2 linked regions of the Sus scrofa genome follow. The protein of the gene in region 1 interacts with the protein of each later gene in a pairwise test. Links are inferred from orthologs where the notes say so. Each region holds a gene or a part of one and is shown in the gene's direction. Other genes may lie near its edges.

Region 1 (4,229 bases):
GGGGAGAAACCTTTTGTAGAGGGGGTTGGGGGAGGTTTCCTGCTCCCTGGAAGCAGGGCTGCCTTATCAAGGTCTCCCTGTAACCTGAGAGGAGGCTCTGGACCCCTGTGGGATGGATGGTCTGGGGTCTCTGGTCTGTGGTGTGTGAGAACTGTGACTGCAGTTGTCTTCTGAAACAGACCCTGGAGCAAAGCCATTCCCTGGGGGGGAGGGGGGAGATCCTCCAGGGCCTCCCTTCTTGGGGGTCTCTCCCAGACTGGCTGGAGCCAGCTCTCCTAATCCCACAGTAATCATTCCCAGCCGCTGGCTGGTCTAGGCCTCATCCAGGGGCTACAACACTGAACATCAGCCATGCCTTCCAGATGCACCCCACCAGATCAATGCTACCTAGAAAGGTGTTGGTCTGGTCTCCCTAGAATGCCTGGTGTGTTCTCAGGAAATACTTTAGGAGTTTCCATTAGGGAACTTTTGCGAGGTGTCTGTGTGAACTGGCTATAGAGGAATAGATACACACTTGCCCGGCTTGCCCCACCCTCCTAGCAGACACCACCACACTGCACAAACCAGCTCGGGGGAGGGGAAGCTAATTCTCCCCCAGCCCCACCCCGTACACAAGCACATTCCATTCCACACCTGTCTTAAGCTCCTAGCATCAGAATTAGCCAGAAGTATGTTCCGGAGTAACTGCAGCCTAGAAAGTGGCAGGTAATCCCTAGTTCCTGGGTAAGGTCCCTGGGACTCCCTGTCCCTGTACTCAGCCAAAGTGGATTGAGGCAAATCACCTGGGCTAGAACCAGCATTCCATGTGCCCAGTTGGACATTTAGAACCTTCCTGAGAGCTGAGGAAGAGCCTGACAGAACAGGGTCCCTGGATCTGCAGCGCTGTCTGCTGTCTTCAGACTCATTGTCACACTTAGCTGTGTGGGGGCAGCTTTGGTTCTCCATCTTGCATTTGAGAAGGGACTAAACTCACAAGACTCCGGCTACCCAGGGCTCAGGCTGCAAATACAGCCCAGATACCTGTAGACAGCACAGTCTGCCCTCACAAAGGCCACTTTGGGTGCCATGGAGGGAGGGAGCCCTTGGTTCCTCCCTGCAGTACAGGTCAACTTCCTGTTTGTGCCTGTGGGTGGAACTTTTACGAGTCTAGGAGAAGCGTGGCCATACTCTGTGGGGGCCCAAACCGGCAGGCCGGCTCACCTGGGCCGACACCTACTCGGGGAGGGGGAGGTGCTGGTCCTCAAGGGCAGCCCCAACGCCGAGGTGTGTGTGTGTGAGGAAGGCGGGGTCTGTTTTGGTGAAACCCGAGCCTTCTTTGTCTGCTTCCCAGGGGTTTTCCCCATCTGGGGACTGGGCTGAGCATGGACCAGGATGGGCTCCCTAAAGCGCTGAGGAAGGTGGCTGTAAAGCCCTACAGCCGACTTGGTTAGGACAGCCAGCCAGCTTAGCTGTCACGTGCCACTGGCCCCTTCCCCGAGCTGAAAGACAAATGCTGTAAGGTGTGAAGTCAGAGGCCAGAGGAGCAGTCCTGGGCCACCATCGAGCCACATCTGGGCTGGGCACTGGGTCGGTTGTTGAGGGGGTGCTGCGCAGACCACTCCCCTGTCGGGGTCGGGGGCGCGGCCTCAGCCGCCCCGCCCCGCTCCTCCAGGCCCGGCCGGACGGGCGCTGGGAGTCCGCAGCCCGGAGCGGGCTTGGGAGCCGGCCGATCTGCGGCGAGGAGGTGCTGGCGCTGGAGCAGGAGCCGGGAGGGGAGCTGGAGCGGCGGCGCAGGTGGCCCTAGGTGAGTGCGTGGTGGGGCCGCGGAGGTGTCGGAACTCTAGCTCCTGCACAGCCCCGCGCCGGAGCGAACTTTACCGGTCTTGGAAGGTTGGGGGTTGGAGTGAGGAGGGGAGTCCCCAGTGCAGGAGGCACAAGCGAAGAGTGTGAACAGGGAACCTACACGGAACCTCACACTCACGGGTCCAAACACGCGTACACACAGACCCACGCGCGCACCTGAGACAGACGAACACACGTGCACCCTAAAGAGGACGCGCCCAGTGAGCTGTGCCTGCCGTCCCTGGAACAACGCCACTGGCCCGCGGGACCCCCAGCGGGCAAGGCGCGCTGCTGCCGCGTACTTGACAGGGGTGGGAGGAAAGACCCAGGGACCGCCGACGGGGGCGGGCCGGGTGGGACAACTCCAGAGGTTCCTGCTTTCCGGCAGCCCGCAGGTGAAGACTAAGACGTAAACAGGAGCCGAGCACGTGATCGTAGCGCAGACCTGTGGGCTGTGCTCCCCCCACCCGGGCCTCAGGGCGGGAACCGCCCGCCCCGGTGCAGGACGGGCTTGCAAGGTACCTGGCCGGGCTGTAGTCCATTCTCCACCTCCCCCGGAAGGAGAACACAACGCCCCCTGGAGTCGGGTTAGCGAAGGAGAACAGGAGGCTGTTGGTCTGGCCTGGGGTTACCTGGGCTCTTCGCCCTTCCTTCTCCCCAACATGGTGCCCCATCCCTGAAGATATTGGGGGCGTGGGGGCGATATTCTGGATGGCAGCGTATAGCAGCCAAGGGAGCAGCTACGGCAGCGCCTGTGGGTGCCCTTCCTACTACCACCCCTCCCTGCAGAGCTAGGAGCTCCTCCTTGCAATGTAGGAACAGAAAGCCCACGCATGCAAGAGTGGGAGTCCCCCTTCCCCAGAGAATGCAGGAGCGTGCACATCTCAACACCAGAGAGGGCCTGTCTCCCTCCCGTAGAAGGGAAGACAGCCCCCTCCCCCCAGGGCATGAAAGTGGGCATCGGCCCTCGGCCTCCTTCCTCACCCCACCCCCCACCCCTACACGCACGCTGAGCCCAGCTGCTGCCTGAGCTTCTGGGCTGGCTGCCAGAAAGGGGAGGCGGCTCCTAGTGCCCCAGGAGGCTGGGATCAGGGCAAGGCCAGAAGAGGGGGGGGGGGTCTCTACCGGAGTGGGACTCAGTCTGTTCTTGTGAGCAGAGGGTCTAGGGTGAGCCTGCGGGTGGCTGAGCTGTTTCCCTTTCCAGGGAAAAAGAAAGAAAAACAATCCTTTCCATAGAGCTAAAAATAGAGCTGAGAGCCTGCCAGGGCTGTGGCCTGGAAGGGGGGGAGATGCTCCTTCCTGGGGTAGAGGAGCTGTGGCAGGCCTTGGCCCTGGATGGGGCGGAGTTAGGGGCCTGGAGGCTGTCCTTGTACAGCCGTGTGGGCATCAGCTGACCTGACTGGGTCACAGAGACCCTACGGGAAAGTCTGTGTGATAAAATGTTTGTGAAATACGTTGTGTACATGTAAGAAGACGTTTTTTGACTGTGAATAAGACTGTCAGTGTGTGAAAAATGCTTAGGAGACTAAGTGTATTTAAGATTGTGACTGGGTGCGAAGGACTTCGAGCTGTGAAAGCCTGTGTACAACTAGGCATGTGAAACGAATGTCTCTGTGTGTTGGCCTGAAAGATTATGGGAAGAAGAGACATGGAACCTCGTGATGAAAAAGACTGTATGATTGTGGCTGTGTGAGACTGTGGGAAAGGTCGTGTGGGTGTTAAGACTGTTTTGTTTGCCGAGCTGAGAATATCCGTGACCCTGAGAAGACAGTGGGATGTTGTGTGCTACGCGGCTGTGTAGGTTTGGCCTGTAGGCTTGGATGGGCTCACCTCAGTGACTGTTGGGCCCAGGGGCTGCTTCTCTCGGATCAGTGGCCTCTCTCTTAGGAAATGACTCTGAGGGAAGGCTGGGGAGCACTGAGCCGCGCTGGGGAAAGGCCTAGGCTTTCTAGGGTAAGGTCCCCCAAGGTTGGCGGTGACCGAGTGTGTTCTCCGAATGGGCCGCCAGGTGGCGCCACCTCCACAAATCCAAGCGTGCCTCCTCCAACCGGCTGCGGGTGGGGCAGACACCCACCAAGCCTTGGCCCCCGACTTGTGCTGGGGCGCAGGGCCCCGAATCGGGGGCAACTGACCCTCCGCCGCCCCCTCTGGACTCCGAAGCTGGAGAGTGTGTCTGGGGGAAGAGGCATCGACGAGACAAGAGAAGGGGGAAGGGCGGCCGCCTCGGCGCCTGGCCCTTTGTGCTCGAACAATGACCAGCTGCCGCTGGCCCCGGGGCCCGGGTAGGGGTAGAGGGTGACCTGCCGCCGCCGCCGCCTAATCCTGAGCCGACCGAGACCCCAGACACTGGCCCTCGGAAGGAGGGAGCCTGAGTCCCGCCGCGCAGCTCCTGCGTGTTGCCCGCCGGA
Region 2 (4,378 bases), on another chromosome or scaffold:
TGTCACCGGCCCTCTGACAAATTACCAGGGAGTTCAAAGGAGAGTGGGCTCCTGTGGGGCCTGAGAACAGAGGCACCAGGTGAGAGGGAATCCCCACCATGAAGTAGCATTCTCCGCCCCCAACACTGCCCCACACCTCCTCTTAAAATTCTGGCTGCTTTGTGATCCAAGCTTGTCTCTGTTCTTGTTCCTGCGTTATTGCAAAGGACTAGCTCTTCAGCCAGGTGAGCCAAAGGGGCGGGGGCTCTCGGAACTTGACCTGGATTCCAGGGGAAGGAAGGGAAACCCACTCCCAGACATGCAGCCCAGAACATGTCTCTCTGCCTGCCCCCTACCCCCAGCCACACCCACCTCCTGCTCTGCCACATCCAGCCCAGCCTGGGAGAGGCACAGACCCTTACCCAGTGTGTGTGTGCTGGGGGTGTTGGATTCCCAGGACCATGGCAGTGGGTCGCAGCCCAGAAGGGACCAGGTGGCCTATCCTGGCAGGAGTGGAGGGTCCCCAGTGTTCCTGGAGGTGGTCAGAGAGAGGAAGAGTCTAGAGTCTTTAGTTTTTCTCTCTTTTTTTCCCTGAGGTCTGGGATTGTATGATAGTCATATTCTGTCACTTCTGAGAGTATCTGAGAGAGGGTGTTGCCTATGGCCTGGAAGAGAGAGGGTGGACAGGTATTGTTCTGAGTCACATAGCAAGTTGACCGTGGAGGCAGATGAGAATGAAGTGTTTGGGCCCCGAGGACACAGCCACCTGGCTGGCACTGCTTGCATTCCTGCCCCTCACTACTGTTTCTCTGGCCTTTGTATCCAAGCAGGTTCTGACCTGCTCTGATCGCATTAACAGAAAATCTGTATGCGTCTTGTTAAGGCTTCTGGGACAGGCATGGCCTTTCAAAGCCATCTTCCATTGAGATATTCAGGTGGCTCTGTTGACACCTGCGCTGAAAAAGGGAACCTGGGCTCAAATATCAGCTCCACCTCTTGACTTAGGCCAGCGAGTTATTTCCTTAGAGCTCCCGTGTTCTCATCTATTAAGTGGGGACAATTGAAATAGTTGTTGTAAGGATTACCAGAGATCATTAGGTCATGCACCTAACACAGGGCCTGGCAGTTGGCAGGAGGAGTTCAGTGACGAGTAGCCACTTCGCTCCAAACCCTAAAATCCAAATCAAACTGAACCCATCACTCCCTTTAGGGTGAGAAGCCACTCCGCTCTCTCAGGGCAGGGCAATCTTCCTCTGAAACCCAGGCCCGCTGATTACAAGGCTATTTGGTTTGTGTGACCCAGTTAATAACCCTCTGTCCCGTCGGCCTCTGCGGACACCTCACCTCTGCCCCAGGGGCCGCTGGGCTCAGCGAAGCCTGCCCACGGGTGAGGACAGAGGCTCCCACTTTCCTGATGAGAAGAAAGTGCGTCAGAAGGAAGCAGCCCAACTGGTTGCCGAGCCGTGGAAAACAATTAAACTGGGGGAGAAAAAAACCCTTTAAAAAAAATCAGGTTAGGTATGAATGTGCAGGGTGTGGCCCCCCTGTATAATTAGCCGCTCTGCTGGCTCCGGGAGCCACGGCCGCCTCTCCCGGCCCCGTTGTGTCAGCCCCAGCGGCCCCTCCTCTCCGCTCCTCCTCCTCCCCGCTCCCTGAAGGTGTGTCTCGGGCTCTGCGGCTGCCTGTCCCACTCCCCGCCGAGACGCCCGCCGGAGAGGTCACCCACCCACACCTCCAGGGAGCCCGACCCAGACCAGCCAGGTGACCCGCGATGGAAGCCGCAGACGCCGCCAGGAGCAACGGGGCCAGCCCGGAAGCCAGGGATGCCCGCAGCCCGCTGGGCCCTAACGGCAGCCTGGAGAACGTGACCAAGGCCGAAGGCAAAGAGGCCAAGACCACCAACGGGCACGCGGGGGAGGCGGCCGAGAGCAAGAGCCTGGGCGGCGCCCTGAAGCCGGGCGAGGGAAAGAGCTCCCTGTTCTCCGGGAACGAGTGGCGGCGGCCCATCATCCAGTTTGTCGAGTCCGTGGATGACAAGACCTCCAGCTACTTCAGCATGGACTCTGCGGACAGCAAGAGGTCCCCCTACGCCGGGCTCCAGCTGGGGGCCAAGAAACCGCCTGTCACCTTCGCCGAGAAGGGGGAGCCGCGCAGGTCCATCTTCTCGGAGCCCCGCAAGCCCACCGTGTCCATCATGGAGCCCGGGGAGGTCCGGCGGAACAGCTACCCTCGGGCCGACTCGGGCATCCTCCTGCGCTCCAAGTCGGGCTCCGAGGAGGTCCTGTGCGACTCGTGCATCGGCAACAAGCAGAAGGCCGTCAAGTCCTGCCTGGTGTGCCAGGCCTCCTTCTGCGAGCTGCACCTCAAGCCCCACCTGGAGGGCGCCGCCTTCCGCGACCACCAGCTGCTCGAGCCCATCCGGGACTTCGAGGCCCGCAAGTGCCCCCTGCACGGCAAGACCATGGAGCTCTTCTGCCAGACGGACCAGACCTGCATCTGCTACCTCTGCATGTTCCAGGAGCACAAGAATCACAGCACTGTGACTGTGGAAGAGGCCAAGGCTGAGAAGGAGGTAAGAGCCGGGCCCCTCCCCCACCACCCTCGGGGCCTCTCCTCGCTCGCTGAGTCCTCCCACCTCATTTTCCCACTGGGGGTGCTGGAGTCTGGGGCTCATCTCTCTGCTGTCCCTGGGTCTTTCAGAAAACACTTCTGTCCCCTCTACTCCGCCAGGCTGGGAGTCAGGGAGGGCTCCCCAGTCCTCTAAGGCCCCAGGAGACTGGTGTATTCTAGATGAGCACATAGGGGCTCAGCAAAGATAGGGGACTCGGCTAAGGTCACAGGATAAATTCAAGTCAGGTCAAGGATTGGCACTCAGTCCTGGGCTGGGTGGGCCTGGCTGGATGTATCTTTTTCTTCTTCTTCTTCCTCTTCCTCTTCCTTCTCTTCTTCTTCTTCTTCTGAGGAGTGGGTTATGGGTGAGGAGGAGGGAATTTGGGGATGGCTTCAATGTCCTATTTTCTGTCTTCAGAGTTGGCCTTTGCAGGACAGCAGCTTCTTCTTGTTCCGTCTGATCCTCCATCCTGTCCCTTGACCCCCCTGCTGGCCTCCTTTATCCCCCCTCAGCCAGGCCCTGTGTGCTTTGTGTGTGTGGTTGTATGTGGTGGGCGTGCCTCTGCCTGTGGATGGACGCTCTTGGTGAGGGTTGGAGTGGGGGGGAGGGGTCTGTGTGTTTTATATGCACGTGGGTGTGTATATGCGTATGTGGATGTTTGCATAAGATTGTGTATGTAGCACGTCAGTGTGCTTGCATGCATCCTGTGTTCGTGATTCTGCCAGTAGTTCTGTGGTGAGGAGCGGAGGCGTGTAGAGGCTTGTGAGTGTGGTATACCTGGAGCGGGTGCGCCGGCTACAGGCTCAGCTGTGGCTGCTGCCCCTGGCCCTGCAGACTGGGGCCCTTTGCCCCCACTCCCCGGCAGCCACATAGCTCCCTGGCATGGGCAGCCTTTTGTTGGGGTGAACCTTCCCAGCGGTCAATGCAGGGGAATCGACTTTCTGCACCCTGCAGGCACCCCCTCTGTGCCCAGCCTTCCTGACCAAAAGTTTGTGGGTGACTGTCTCCCACCCACACTCCTGGGCAGGAAGGAGCTGTCAGAGATGAGAGAAAACTCAAAGATCCTTTTCCGAAGCCTCATTTGGCCCAGGAGCAAGGTGACCCCAGTTTCCCCTGCCTGGCTTCACGCTTCATACGGGAAGATGGAGATGGGGGCCTTACTTAGAAAATCAAAATAGAACAAGGACCAATCATCTTCATTCACCACAACCAAGAAGTTGCACAGCCCTGACTGGGCTGGGTTTTGGGAGACCTGGATTCCAGTCCTGGTTTTGCCTCTGATCATCTGTGCAGTGGTAGCCAGGTCCCTTCCCTTCCTTCAGGCTCAGTTTCCCTTCACGTGAAACTAGGGGATTGGACTCCATTGGAGATTTTCTTTCTTCCTTTCTCTTTTTGGCCATGGGGGATCCTTAACATGCTGAGCCACCAGGGAACTCCTAGAGGTTTTCAAATTACCCCATAGAGCCCTTGGGGAGCTCCATGGAGCTTAGGATTCTTGGGACTGTCATTAGCTTAGGATTCTTGGGAATGTCTTTAAGGTGTCAGGGATGAGAATGGGGGCAAAGTGATGCCAAAAAGACAGGGTCGGCAGGTTCCCACCTCACAGCAAACAGTACGTGCTCTTGTTCATCCGTTGTATACATGGGGTTTGGACTCCAATTTTATCTGAATCAAGGGTATCTCCAATTAAGAAAAGCCTGAATGCTCTAGAGGGTAGTCTTTGGCAGCTTTCTCTGGTGGTACCTGGAATGTGGAGTTCATGTTCTAGTTCTGGGCAGGACTCAAAGA

What was found.
Region 2: the proteins of LZTS2 (region 1) and TRIM29 interact in binary tests that used the Homo sapiens proteins (3 or more experiments, as listed by UniProt). The two-hybrid records come from large-scale screens. The link is inferred for Sus scrofa from reciprocal best matches to the Homo sapiens genes LZTS2 and TRIM29.

Annotation. Positions count from the first base shown.
Region 1 is NC_010456.5:112,076,868-112,081,096, forward strand, and holds the start of LZTS2 (leucine zipper putative tumor suppressor 2), read left to right. Parts: upstream 1-1,343; 5' UTR 1,344-1,783; intron 1,784-2,960; exon of another isoform or gene 2,961-4,103; intron 4,104-4,229. UniProt on the Homo sapiens protein: Negative regulator of katanin-mediated microtubule severing and release from the centrosome. Required for central spindle formation and the completion of cytokinesis.
Region 2 is NC_010451.4:47,281,278-47,285,655, reverse strand, and holds the start of TRIM29 (tripartite motif-containing protein 29), read left to right. Parts: upstream 1-1,551; 5' UTR 1,552-1,750; coding exon 1,751-2,551; intron 2,552-4,378.